Pelodiscus sinensis: one gene and its partner. The protein of the gene in region 2 binds, or shares a complex with, the protein of the main gene of each other region. Links are inferred from orthologs where the notes say so. Each region holds a gene or a part of one and is shown on either strand. Other genes may lie near its edges.

Evidence for each region. The genes of interacting proteins can lie anywhere in the genome.
Region 1: THOC5 (region 2) and SARNP share a complex: the UniProt entries of both Homo sapiens proteins name them as parts of the transcription/export (TREX) complex. The link is inferred for Pelodiscus sinensis from reciprocal best matches to the Homo sapiens genes THOC5 and SARNP.

The regions. Positions count from the first base shown.
Region 1 is NC_134729.1:4,432,846-4,439,801, forward strand, and holds the start of SARNP (SAP domain-containing ribonucleoprotein), read left to right. Parts: upstream 1-3,950; 5' UTR 3,951-4,077; coding exon 4,078-4,113; intron 4,114-6,956. Other genes in the region: ORMDL2 (ORM1-like protein 2), read right to left, coding at 326-461, 1,206-1,357, 2,062-2,235. UniProt on the Homo sapiens protein: Binds both single-stranded and double-stranded DNA with higher affinity for the single-stranded form. Specifically binds to scaffold/matrix attachment region DNA. Also binds single-stranded RNA. Enhances RNA unwinding activity of DDX39A.
Region 2 is NC_134725.1:5,322,227-5,329,538, forward strand, and holds the start of THOC5 (THO complex subunit 5), read left to right. Parts: upstream 1-4,295; 5' UTR 4,296-4,670; coding exon 4,671-4,766; intron 4,767-5,408; coding exon 5,409-5,552; intron 5,553-6,536; coding exon 6,537-6,650; intron 6,651-7,174; coding exon 7,175-7,272; intron 7,273-7,312. UniProt on the Homo sapiens protein: Component of the THO subcomplex of the TREX complex which is thought to couple mRNA transcription, processing and nuclear export, and which specifically associates with spliced mRNA and not with unspliced pre-mRNA.

The sequences.
Region 1 (6,956 bases), on a different chromosome or scaffold from region 2:
GACAAGTTAACTCACATGACGTTTAGACCTGCTCCCTCCTCACAGTTCAGTTGCCTCTCCCCACCCCAACAAAAGATAAAGCCCAAGTACCGATGATTATTAGGGAGAGTAACTTAACCCCCTTGCAAAATAATCCCCACAAAGTGGCTCAAACAGCACCTGGTCCCTCGGTTGGATCCCCTGCTCTAGTTCACGCTCAGGACAGCACCTTCATGCTGGGCTCGATAATCCTTTGCCCTCAGACATTGGTAGCCAGAGCAGACGGCTATTGGAACAGGCCCGCTCTTCCCTTGCAGCTGGCTGGGCAGTGCTGGCTCGCTGAGCCTTAGTATTTGTTGATGCCAAAGACACGCACGCCATGGAACTGGGGCAGCTTGGGGAGGAGGACGCTGAGGAGGGAGGTCGTGTTGATTAGAAAATGTGCAGGGTCGTATTTGGTATAAAAGCTGGTGAGGAGGTAACTGGAAGAGAGACGGAGGCAGGGTTAGTTCTGCAGCCATCCAGTCCTGCCTGGGGTGACAGCACACAAAAGCAATTTCTGAGGCTGGATTGGCAGCTGAAGACTGAAACCCTCCCTATAGTGGTGGGGGGGAGGGGTGTGATGTAAGATTCCCCAGCCAAAGCACCTTACCCATGCCACAGAACCATTTCCCCTGCATGGCCAGAGTCCAGTCACTAGAGCCCATACTGCCCTGGGTGCTTCGGTGGTGCCAGCCAAGGGGCCAGCTGCTAGCAGCCAGGGTGCTCTGTGCACAAGCTAGCCAAGGACTGTTATGATACCCACTGGTTTGTTTCAGGCCAGAGAGCTTGTACCCTCTAGATGCAATAGTCAGAGGGCAGCCACGGGGCTCTGGCCAGTTCCACCAACAACCAACGTACTCTATAGCCGAGGTGGCTTTCCCTGTATAGGAGAGAGCCCAGCATAGGCTAGTGATTCAGTTTGGCTTCATGCAGACTACAGTGGTCCCATCCTCTCCTCTGGGCCAGTCATACCTGCTCAGCTAAAGCTGGGGCCCTGCCTCGTGAGGTAGAGTCTTCTTGGCCTACACAGGGATACTGGAGAGGAGGGGAAATATAGGTAACCCCACTGAATGCCTAGGTGCTGTCACTCTGGTTTGGAGCACTCCTACCATAGGCAGGTCCCAAAAATGAAATGCCACCCGGAGCTTTACAGATGATCTGCCACAGCAGGAACAAACACTTACAGGACTACCGGCGAGATGCTGAGGAATTTGCGGGAGGAGGTGCACTGCGTCCCATAGTCTATCTGTTCCCAGTGTGTGAGGAGGCGATCCTTGCCCTGGTCCGGTGTCTCAAACGGGGTTCCTTTCACAGTGTGAAGAAACCAGTACATAACCTGCAATTTCCACAGGAAGGGAAGGTGTAAGGAGAGTGGCAGTCCTTCTGCTGTTGTACCATTAGCACACAAGTGGGGCAAGAGCGGACAGGACCCAAAGCTAGAGGGCAGCAGATCTATGGAACTCATTGTTACAGAAGACTAGAGTCAAACAGCATGTTCAGTTTTAGAAAAGGTCTGGCTGGGGAGACAAGTTCTCCTTTTGTAGAGGCAGCAGGGGGGGCAAAGAGGGGCAGGGGGCCTGTGGAGCCAGTGCTTGGGGGAGCCAGCTTTTAAGTGGGTTCCCCATAGCACTGGCTCCTGCCTGTCCTGTCCCCCCCATTGCCTCTGAAGGAATCAGCAAGGTGCAGAGGCAGATGGATTCGCAAAGCTGGCACACACACAAAGCCAACTTAAAAGCTGGCTCCTGCCTGCTTCCCCTCCACGCTATCAGAGGCAGAAGTGTGGGGGTGGTGGAGCAGGTGGATCCGGTGCTTGTGGGGAGATGGTTTAAAAACCAGCTTCCCATGGAGACCGGCTCTCACCTCCCCCCACTTGCTGCCTCTGATACAGAGGTAGCAAGGGGGTGGAGGGCAATGCACGTAGTCAACAGGATTAACCAATAAGCCCAAGCTTGTCGGTTCATCTTGTAGTCATCTACATGTTAACATCCCTACTTTCTAGCAGTGCAGGAAGACACGCTGGGAAGCTGAGCTTTCACTCACCAGGTTGTGTATAACATTAGTAAGGGTCCAGACCACTGGAATGCTGAAGAATGGGATGCTGAGGAGAATCACATGGAGAACTCCCACCGAGATCATGTAGGCCAGCCAGATGCCACGGCTGTTCATCACCCGGGTGTTGGGATTCACCTCACTGTGGGCCACCCCAACATTCATTCTGGAAGAAAGAGAGACAGTGGTGGGGAAGTGCAGTCAACATTACTCAAAGACTATGATGTTTTCTGATTCCAAGACGTGCCTGATGTTGTCCTTCCTTAGGATCCTGACTTTTTGCATATGCGCATTCCAGGTTCCTAATACTTATCTTTCTGTAACATCTTCCAGGCCAGTGCCCCCAAATTCTTTATAAATATTAATGCATGAATCATCACAGCCCTCAGGTGGCCACAAACTGAGGCAGCAACAGTTAGAAGTGGGGCCCAGGTGTAGCCTCCTCATATAGCCCCTACTTCCTGCCTAAAGCTGGGGAACAGAACCCTGGCATCCTGACTCCCAGCTTCCTCCTTTCCCTTTACCCCTCACTCTAATCCATTAAACAGCTCATTAGTGACTTTGTAAGTCTCTTAAGCAAAGCTGAAATTGCAAGACCCTAAGAGCTGCTTTACTCTGTAATTCAGGTCTTCATTTCTCCCCCTTGTTATGGCTGTGCAGCCTCCCCATACCCACTGCCCCTTCTCTTCCTCCACGGCTCCTCTTCCCAGCCCTTGTAACTGTGGTATCCAACTAGTTCTATAGCCAACTAGCCACACACAACCAGCCAAATAGCCACACGTGGATAGTGGCTAGCATGTTGGACACCACGGCCAGGCTTATCCCACCTCATCACTCCTCCTAGGAGAGCAGTACCACCTAGCTCTCTCAAGAGTACGTCTCATCAGTGGCTCCAGAAGCTCTTCACAAAGGAGGGCACTATCAGGCCTTCCATTCTACCAAAGGGGAAACTGAGGCACTGAGCGGGGAAATGACTTGCTCAAGGATGCCAAGCAGGCCAATGGCAAGGCTGGGAACAGTCCCTCCTTCTTCTCCTCCCCATCCCCCATCCCCCACAGGCTGCCCCCTTTCCTCCTCCCCATCCCCCACAGGCTGCCCCCTTTCCTCCTCCCCATCCCCCACAGGCTGCCCCCTTTCCTCCTCCCCATCCCCCATCCCCCACAGGCTGCCCCCTTTCCTCCTCCCCATCCCCCATCCCCCACAGGCTGCCCCCTTTCCTCCTCCCCATCCCCCACAGGCTGCCCCCTTTCCTCCTCCCCATCCCCCATCCCCCACAGGCTGCCCCCTTTCCTCCTCCCCATCCCCCATCCCCCACAGGCTGCCCCTTTCCTCCTCCCCATCCCCCACAGGCTGCCCCCTTTCCTCCTCCCCATCCCCCATCCCCCACAGGCTGCCCCCTTTCCTCCTCCCCATCCCCCATCCCCCACAGGCTGCCCCCTTTTCTCCTCCCCATCCCCCACAGGCTGCCCCCTTTCCTCCTCCCCATCCCCCACAGGCTGCCCCAGCCTACACGTGCCCCTCCTCCTCACCCCACAGATTATTTGTCCCCCTACACGTGCCCCTGATTTCCCACCCAGGCCGCCCCGCCCCCCACATGCTGTCCCCCTCCCCCACATAGGTGCCCCCCCCCCCCCCATCCGTTTCCCCGCCCTTAAGGGGCTCCCATCCCTCACTCACCTGTCGGCAGTGGCTGAACCTTCCCTAGCTCGTCTCCAGGAAGTGCCAGCGCCCACCCCCACAGCCGCCCTCTATTGGCTGCCCACCTTTCCCTTCTAAGCGCTCATTGGCCTGCGTGGTTGTCGCTCCTCTATGCCCCGCCCTTCCTTCCAAGGCAACCAATAGGAAGCCACCGGGCTGGGGAGGGGGAGGTGGCTGGGCTAGTGGCAAGGCGCGCTCTTGAGCGGGTCGCGCTTGGGGCGCCTGGTCAAGAAGAGCGGCTGCCATTGGGCGGCGGCCCGTCCGGGGTGGGCGGGGCCAGGTCGCCGCGAGCTGAGGGGAGGCGGCAAGATGGCGGCGGAGACCGTGGAGCTGCACAAGCTGAAGGTAGCGGAGGGAGGCGCGCGGGCTCCCCGTCCCCATGGCGGGTGGGGCCTGGCCCCGGGGCTCCCCCCGCCTCTGGGCGCCTGCGGGGCCGGGCGGCTCCCCCCTCCCTCGGGGTGGGCCGAGGCCTGAGGCCCGCTACGGGCTCGTCCGGCCCCGAGCGCTGCGAGCCCCCGCGGGCGGGCGCGTGTCCCGGGGGGGGGGCGCGTGTCCGGGGGGGGGGGTCACGAGACGCTCGCACCCTGCTGGGCCTGGCACCCGCTTCCAATGCGGCTTCCTCCAAGGACACCGCCCCCCCCACCCCGGGGAACTGCGGCCCCCCCCCCACCCCGGGGAACTGCGCCCCCCTCCGCCCCCCGGGCGCATGGGATTTCCACTCTGCGCGCGTGTCGTGGTGAGCCCCCCCCCGCCACGAGGGGGTGCTGGCTGTTGCACGCTCGCCTGGCAGCGCCACTGCTCCACGACCCTTCACTTACGCCTCCTTGCACGCCAGGTCTGTGTCTATCCACCTCTGGGTTTTCTCCGCATCCTTCCCAATCCTCTACCTCAGGAAGAAGCATCGCCACGCCTGTGTGCTGCACGGAATAGGCCTGTCAAAGCTGCAGGGGAAGAAACTTGCAGAGCAAGGTTGTGGCGTGTAAAATAGTCTGGCAAGGATTGCAGTGGCGGCCAGTATTTAGTTTTTAAATGAGCCTCGGGACAATACTGAAAAGAGTTCACTAGGGCCCAGGCAGATGGACTGGATAGTCTGTCTCTTTTGTCTCTAACATCTAAGGTTTCAGTAACATGACTGCTGTGTCAGACAGAGGGACCTTTATCTTAATTTCTGGCAAACAGTCGGACAGGGACGCAGGTATTTTTATTTCTTCCTTTTTTTTTGGCGGGGGAGGGGAACAGATCATAAACAGAGGAACTGACTTGTCCAAAATACAGGACTGTGTAGCACTTTAAAGACTAACAAGATGGTTTATTAGATGATGAGCTTTCGTGGGCCAGACCCACTTCCTCAGATCAAATAGTGGAAGTAGGTCTGGCCCACGAAAGCTCATCATCTAATAAACCATCTTGTTAGTCTTTAAAGTGCTACGTAGTCCTGTATTTTGTTTCAGCTACAACAGACTAACATGGCTACACTTCTATCACTATTCTACATCCTGACTTGTCCAAGGCATCAGTAAATCATTGGCACAGATTAATCTATCTTCATCTGAATCTATCTTCAAGAAGTCTTGGCTCCTAGTTTCCTGTGCTAACAACTGGAACCCATTCCTTCCAAAACCCAGCAGTCATTACTCCCAGATTCTTGGCACTAGGCATTATCTCCTCTATGCGCCTTCAGAATTTTCAGTTGACTGTTACCATAACGCTAATGGTAGCAAGTAGCAATTGGAAGTTCTTCATAACTTGGGTATTTTGGGGTGAGTAAGGAGGTGTAATTATACTTAAGAAGTGTGATTTAGTGAGGTTGTTCTATAGCCATGGTGTCCAACCAGTTCTGAAGCAGTAGCTCCTATACTGGCTAATGCTATAGAGCAGTGTTTCCCAATTTGATTTGGCCATGGAACCCTTATAAACTCGAAAGAATTTTGCAGAATCCCAATAATAGTCTTATATGTGGAGCTGAAAAAGTAGGCCTCAAATAAGTAAGGGTAATAATAAACAAATGCTAAACAAGGTCATGAGATCAACATTTTGTTTAATTGCACATATTTAAAAACAAAAATCACATTTAATGTGTACAAAAAATAAAGCTAAAAAACGAATCTGAATTATATTTACAGCGGTTTGCAGTGGTATTTAATAGGCGATTGCAGTACTGACTGTGTGCGCAGCGCTGAGTAGTGACATTGTCGTCCCCACTCTCTGGCTACGCTGGCATTACACAGGGACACTTACCTTGGCAAACACAAATGAAAATTGTTTTCAATAAAATTCATAAATGCTTAAATATTTTTTTAAAATCACAAAATGTTATTGTAATGGAATTTTCTCGCGGAACCCTTATTTTCACTTCGTGGAACACCATTTGGGAAACACTGCTATAGTAAACTAGCCACACTCAAGTGGCCAAATAGTCACTAGCTTTTTGGACATCACAGTTCTATAGTAACAACTAGGGGTGTTAAATTGCAGTTAGTAAGCTAATCGAGTAGCTGATGGAATTTCCATCGACTACTCAATTACTTGATAAGGGGGTTAGCTCCAGGGGCAGCGCAAGTTGGGACTGAGCGAGGGACTGCCAGGCTCTTACTGCATTTAAAAAGCAGAGCCACAGTGGTCTGGGACTGGGTGCAAGCTGGGACTCATCTGTCCCTGCTCATGCCAGGTCCCCCGCTGTGCCTCTGCCTCACATGGTGATGGTCCTGGGGAGAACTGGCTCCTGCTCCCCATCCCCCTTGCTGCCACCTCTGATACAGAGGCAGCAAAGGTTGGGGGAGAAACTAGTTGAGTAGTTTGTCTCCCCACCCTTGCTGCCTCTGTATCAGAGGTGGCAGCAAGGGGGAGGGAGAGTAGGAGCTGGTGCTAGGGAGAGCTGTAACAATCCCTAGTAACAATTTACATTTTTCTGCTACTTTTGCTTAACATGTCTGCAGTTTCATTTTTGTTCCAGTCCCCAGAGCAGCTCAGAATCTGCAGGATGTAAATCGCTTTTCAAGGGGAGCACAGACTAGATTCAGACCCTCTATTAATATATCTTTTGTTCTTCTCAAGCTCTGTATGTTCAAGACAGGTGCTTTGCAATCCTATCTCAGAGGGATTAAGGCAATTTACAAATGGGAGAAATGGAGGCACAGAGAGAATTACAGAAATTGTAATGGAGAAATTCTAGTAGATTATCTGACTCC
Region 2 (7,312 bases):
GCCCCCCTGTGTCCAGTGATCCCACCCTGTCCCCTGTGAGGTCACTGCTGCACCCGTGTCCAGTGGTCCCGCCCCCCGCCCTCTGTAAGGTCACTGCCACACCCCTGTGTCCAGTGACCCTGCTCCACTCCCCCACCCTCACTCGCTGGGGCAAAGGGTTGGGCGGAGGGGGAGGGAAGGCTCTGATGGGGGGGCCCAGAAACTAGGCCTTGGGGAGCAGCGAAAGGCTCTGGGTGCAGCCAGACATGAGGGGTCCAGGTGCGGGAGGGGCGCCGGGCTGGGGAAGAGATGCCGGAGGTGCGCAGGGCCCTTGGTACCGCATCCAATTCTCTGCCATTCCCAGGGCTCAGACGTAGCCTCTCTCTGCGGCTCTGTGGTAATGGGCCCTCCGATCGATCCCAGCCATGGGCAGATTGTTCCCATGCATGTGTGGAATAAATGTGATGTGCACTGATGCACGCCGGAATGTGCACCACCAGTAGGAAGCCCCCTCGCTGTGGGTGTCTGCTAGTCAGCTGGGCCGCACTTCTAGGGAGACACGCGCTTTGCTTGAGGGCCGGTCAGACTCGAGCCCTCTGGGGGACACAGGCAGAGATCGGACACGGGAACCCCAGCGAGAGAATCCGACCGAGGAGTTCACAACCTCCGAGACGTCCGAGGGCTGCCCGGGGGAGTCTGTATCTGCAACCACAAGGAGCAGGGCGGGGGCACCTTCCACGCTGTCTGTGCGGCCCCAGGATTCCCCGTGGTTCGTGTCAAAGGGCCATAGCGCACTAGAACGGGAAGGGAATTCGAGAGGCATCGAGTCCCGTCCGCTGCCTTCCCGGCAGTGTAGCCCATCCCTGACAGCCTGCCCTTCAGTATCTGCAGCCTCCCTCGGCAACGTATCCCAGTGCTTGGCCGTTTTCCCGAAAGTCCAACCTCAACCTCCCTCGCTGCAGCTTCAGCCCCTTGCTCCCTGTCCTGTCCTCAGAGGCCAAGCACCATTTCCCCCTCCTCGTGACACCCTTTGAGATACTTGAAAAGCGCTCTCATGCCCCGCTCAGTCTGCTCCTTCCAAACGAAACCAGCCCAGTTCTTTCAGGCTGCCCTCGGAGCTCCTTCTCTGGACCCTCTCCAAGTTCTCCACCTCGCTCTGAAATGTGGGGCCCAGCACTCCAGCGGGGCCTGATCAGCGCAGAGCCGAGCGGGAGAACGGCTTCCCGTGTCTTGCTCCCCACTCTCCTGTCAAGGAGTTTCTTGCCAGATGAAATGTCACCTTGAGAGCTGGGTCTGCACCTGGTGCTACTGGCGGCACTGGAGCAGGGCCCGCCTCTGGGACACTCCTGGGATGCAGTTTCCAGGGATATGAGGGTGTGGTTTCCTGCCTCTCAGCTAGTGGTGGCCGCTCTTTCAATCTGGCTGCAGGCGAAGGCCTTAGGCCAGGGCTGGGCAAGACGCGGCCCAGAGGCCGGATCCGGCCCGCCTAACACTTTGATCCGGCCCACAGATGGCATATGGCCGCCTTCCATTTAGATCCGGCTGCCCAGGCCACCGAATTTCCCAGCGGTGGCTCAGATGGCTGGATCTGGCTCACTGCTCCCAGTCGCGGCGCTACCCTGGAAGGGGCCGGAGCCGCGAGCCCTTTAAATAGCCGCAGCAACCTGAGGCGGCTGCCAGGCAACGCGATAGCGGCACGGCCGGGAGCCACAAGCCCTTTGCTGTGTGTTGAATTCAAAGCCTCTGGCCCCGGACAACTCTGGGGGAAGGCTAGTCCCCAGCCCCGCCCCTTGCACCCCAGGCCCCGCCCCTTCCAGAGGGTGGAGCCAGCCCGCAAACCACATTCATTGATTGGCCCCCCTGCAAAAATTATTGCCCACCCCTGGTGTCAGAGGTGGTAAAGCTGTTAGCTTATAAGAAGCACAAAGGGTTTGTATCGGAAGAAAAGGCCAAGCGCCGCATTGATTGAGAACGCAGTGGCACGGCGGTTAGCAGATGCTCATACAAGGGTTATAGACAGACACACCCCGTGTACACGTTCTTTTATTATTTTATGTTCTGTGTACTACTTTATGGCTTGTGGATTGATTATGGGAGGAGCAGGGTTGTATCGGTTTGGATCAGTGCTTTAGTTATGGCAGGACGGATTTCCTTTTCAAGCAGAACGGTTTTGTTATCATTGTTTTTTTGAATTGGGATTAGTGGGTTTTGCATTGTTCAATTGTTGGGGCTTTTTGACGGGTGTTTGTTATTTGTAGTTGGTTTTTTGTAGTTGGTTTGGGAGGTTTTTTGTTTTAGCTGGTTTTGATTATAAATATTTTGTTTTAATTGATAGGGGCTTGTTTTTTTCCAAGCTGTTGATTTGCTCGCTGCTTGTATTTTGAAGGGGATCTGGAGCAATTTTTGGCGCTTTTCCATTTGTGTTTGGCTTTTTCCAGAGCATTTGGCTTTTCTGTGCATTGTTAACGTGCACATTGTTCAGTTTTAGAAAAGAGGGTTGATTGTTGTTCAGAGAAGCAGCGTTTCTGGTAGAGAAGCAGTGTGCACATTCAAACAAGGACGTTACATTGCAATTTGAAGAAGGGTGTTTGTTGTAAGCCTAAAACAGAACCGTGTCCATCAGGTTCTATTCCTGCGGTGGAACCAGCTCTGGACACAGTGCTCTGGCTGGTGCACCTTTACCAACGGTAAGGTCAAGGTCCTTTCTGCATTCGAGAGGGTGGCTGGCAAAGTACACCGAGGCCCAGGACTTTGCATAAAGCTCCATTTTAGCTCCATGGCTACAGAATGTGCCAATGGTTAATTACCCGCACAGTAAACAAAATCTGTGCCTTGTTTCTTCTTTTCGTTTGTTCAGCCTTGGCTTCCAGCCGTTGGATTGCTCGGAGCCTTTGTCTGCTAGACCCTAAAGCTGCCCGACTTAGTAATCTCTTTCCCAAGTAGGGTGTTCTAGACCTTGCCCTCTTCACCTTCTCTCGGCTAAGCCGCACAGACTGCGCGTCTCTAATCTCCCATTGGGAGGTGGCTCTCCTGACCTCGGATCCTCCTTCTCGCTCTCGCCTGACACCTCTGCAACGTGTCCACGTTCTTTCGGAAGCCTGGGCCCCAGGACTAGGCAGCTACCGAGATGTCGGCGCGAAGGCCGTGCACGGTGTCCTACTGCTTACGCACCCCAGGTCCGTTAGACCTGCCGGCCAGCGCCATGTGCCTCGATTAGAGATACTGGCCTCCGCGGTGCTCGTTCTGGCCACAGGCTATTTCGAAATAACCTCCAAATCAGCCACACAATTTGGGGAGCTTATTTCGCGGTCAGGGCGCTGTGCAGACGCACCCTGAGTGTCCTTGTTGCGTGCAGCGGGGGGGGGCTTGCACAGGCCCGTGTTTGATTTTAGACCCGTCCACGTGCTAGACCAGGAGTAGGCAGGCGCAGGGCGCACGGCTGGGGGCCCTTGCCGAGTCCCCGGCAGGGCTGAGCGCTGCGCCCGGGTCGGGGGTCCCAGCGCCGTAGCTCCCTCCAGGAGCTGGGGGGTTCCTTGTCCTGAGGGGGGTGGCGTCAGCCCCACAAGGGACACCCTTCCCGCCACGGCTGGGAACGCCACGTGCAGCAGTGCCTGGCCCCGCCCACACCACCCTGAGGAGGGCTACAGCGGCCCCGGGCCCCGCCCCCAGGCGTAGGGGGCGTGTCCGGTGCGTGGAGGGACCTGCGGCCCCGCCCCTCGCAGCTCCGCGGCGGGCCGGCAGGGGGCGCGCTGGGCGCCGGACGCTCTAGCCCCGCGGGCCGCGCTCGTCTCCTCCGCCGCCGGATTTCCGCTGCGCCTGGCGGGCCGGTGAGCGCGGGGGGCCTGGGGCTGCCGGGGCGTTTGGCGGGTTGCGGGGGGGGCCGGGGGTTGGCGGGGGGGGCCGGGGCCGGGGAGGTTGCGGGGGGGGCGGGGGAGGCTGCGGGGGGGGCCGGGGCGGGGGGGGCCGGGGGAGGGCGGTTGGCGGGGGGGGGCCGGGGAGGCTGCGGGGGGGGCCGGGGCAGGGGGGTTGGCGGGGGGGGCCGGGGAGGCTGCGGGGGGGGCCGGGGCAGGGCGGTTGGCGGGGGGGGGCCGGGGAGGTTGCGGGGGGGGGGCCGGGGCAGGGAGGGTTGGTGGGGGGGGCCGGGGAGGTTGCGGGGGGGGGCCGGGGCAGGGAGGGTTGGTGGGGGGGGCCGGGGAGGCTGCGGGGGGGGCCGGGGCGGGGGGGGGGAGGGGAGGCTGCGGGGGGGGGCCGGGGCGGGGGGGGGAGGGGAGGCTGCGGGGGGGCCGGGGCAGGAGGGTTGGCGGGGGGGGGGGCCGGGGAGGCTGCGGGGACAAGGCCCCCGGGAGGCAGGGAGCCCCTGGGCCGGGCCTGGTGGGGAGCAGGGCAGAGTCCCGGGGCCTCTCCCGGGCGCGGGGGAGGTTCGGGGCCGAGCCGGGGAGGCCGGGATGCGGGGGGACCGCGGGAGGGGACCCCTCCTAGCCTCTGCGCTGGGGGTGACGTTGGTTTGAGGAGGGGAGACGATCGATCGGCGCAGGAGGCGCAGTGCCGAGGGGAAGCAGGGCAGAGTCGCCCCCTCCCACGGCAGCACGGGGTCTCTGACAGTCGCTCCCATTTGTTGCAGAGGCTTCGAGGGGCTCCCGTTTGGAGACCAGCTATTTCTGCTCTCCCGTCCCAGAGCCCGTGAAATAAGAATGTCGTCTGATTCGAGCAAGAAGAGGAAACCCAAGGTCATCCGCACTGACGGGGCCCCCCAGGAGAGCAAGCGGGGCAGGGTGGACCCTGATCAGGTGGGCTAATGATTGTCAGCCTGTGGCAATCCTGCGGCGGATCAGATGCTGTCGGGCTGGCAGGAGTGCAGAGGCGAAGCCGTCAGTGCTTTGTTCGGAAAGCTCTTGACATCACAAAAGCATCACCCTGTTCGTCCGCTCTGTTGTAAGGGCGAGCATCTCAAAAGCACCCGGGATTAGCTTTCCGCTGCTCGTACTCAAGTCAATGAGGTTATTACCATTGGCTTCAGTGAGCCAGATGCCAGGCCCGATCCCCAGCATCCCGAGCAAAGAAGGGTTATGACCCTGGGAACCAGAGTTGCATCTTATGCTCTCTGAGTGATTTTATCACTGTTGCAAGTTTGCACTGGCCCCCCAAAGCTCTCGGGGTGTTTTTAGAAGCCCTGAAAAGCTTGAGGGGCAATGGGCGTAGGTGGAGCCTGTCTTTCATCTTGTCTGCTCATTGAAAGAACTTTGCTCGCTGCTCTTTTTCCTCTCCTGCTTGTCAGCCTAGTACCAATATGGGATGGGACCTGATGCTGGTCTCTGGGGACACTGTAGTGCTACTGTGAACCCACTAGACAAGCAGGCCCCTGGTGGAGTGAGGCGAGCAGGGGGTTTGTTGCAGTGTTAAGTGCCGCTCTGTATTTCTGCTCTTTGCAGGATGTGAAGTATTACAGTGAGGAGGCGGAGGTGGAACTCCGAGATCCCAGCAAAGACTATGAACTGTACAAGCAAACCTGCCAGGAGCTTCAGAGGCTCATGGCAGAAATCCAGGATCTGAAGAGCAAAGGCAGCAAAGACAGCGTAAGAAGGAGCTTTTCTCCCGAGCCCTTTCAAACACTTTCTGCTGCTGCGCGAAAGCAGTGGGTTTGAAAGCCACATGGCGTCCTCAAACGGGGAAGGGGTTTGTAATGGTCCCAGCAATAGCAATGAAACGTAAGGACTGAATAGCTCAGGAGAGCGGTGCGGGGACAGGAGACCTTCTCCCAGAGAGCGAATCCAGCCTAGGTTATTGGTTACCCCTGCCTGGCGCTTGCTTGGGGGCCTGCGAGAAGCGAGTCAGGGTCTAGTTCGGCAGGTGTTCCCATAGCAAGTGGACTGTAATGAGCGAAGAGCATGGAGCTTGAACTCCCCTCTTGCCGCCGTGGGGCAGCCGTGTCAGATCAGCGCTGAGACTTAGGGTACGTCTAGACTACATGCCTCTGGCGACAGAGGCATGTAGATTAGACTACCAGGCATAGGAAAATGAAGCAGCAATTTAAATAATCGCCGCTTCATTTAAATTTACATGGCTGCCGTGCTGAGTCGATCAGCTGTTTGTCGGCTCAGCGCGGTAGTCTGGACGCGCGGGGGTTGACATCAAAGGCATTTGTCGACCTCCCAGGTATGCCTCATCCCAGGAGGCTTTCTGTTGCAGAAAGCTGGCGGCACCGCTGCCCACGCTGGGCCTTTTCTGTAGCAGGAAGGAGAGCTTCAGCGCGGGCTATTGGGCTAGCAGCTATCACTGCTCCTAAGAGGATGGAAACGAGGGTGCACCATTGACTAAACTCTGTGCCTCCAGCGCAGGGTTGAGCCACCTGATAATAGCCAGGCTGCTCTGGTCGCTGAAAGGGTTAAACCCGAGAGAAGGATGTCATGAACCTGGCCCCGGAGCCAGAATGAGCCCAGGAGGGATTTGGTGATTCCCGGGCTAAGGAAGAGTGGGTGTGTGTGTGGGGGGGGGGGGGGAATACATGTCTGTGTGGCCAGCGACCCAGCTCCTTTACCTGCTGCCTCCTCCCCTCTCAGGCAGCTGCCATCGAAGAGCGGCGGATCCAGAGCTGCATGTACTTCATGACCCTGAAGAAACTCAACCGTCTGGCTCATATTCGGCTGAAGAAGGGGCGAGATCAGACCCATGAGGTACCGTGAGGCCAGCGATTGAAAGGACCGCCCCCTGGCTGGGAGGGGCCTACCCGAGTCCACACAGGGTTCCAGCCACAGGTCTATGGAGCAGAGGCTTCCTGGGAAACTCGGCTGCCGACACTGTAATAGCCACAATGAATGAAAACGCGGCACCAGTTTGATTCGATTCTCACCTGGCACCTCCTGGTCGCCCCACAAGGCCATTGTGCACAGGCTGGGGGTGGGGTGCCAGCCAGTGTCCCTGAATCTCCTGGGTTTCACCATTCCCGAAAATCTGCCTTCTCTGGCTGGCAGCCTTGATCTCTTGCCATCTGCTCTGAGGGGTGTGGTGTTGCCGGCATGCTTCCCGGGGCGACCGGCCCGTCACAGCAGCCCCTGCGCATTGCATGGGATCATGATTAGCCGGTTAAACGTTCCATTGAACTGGTGGACTTTTAACTGGGATTTCCCATCCCTGGTTGCTCTTCTTTTTGGCTTCATCTGCACTGAGGTTTTCATGCTCCCCGCTGACGTTCTTTCAGGCAAAGCAGAAGGTAGACGCCTATCACCTGCAGCTCCAGAACCTACTCTACGAGGTGATGCATCTGCAGAAGGAGATCACCAAATGCCTGGAGTTTAAGTGAGTACTCAAGGGGGCTTAGGGAGGGTCCGATTCCTCG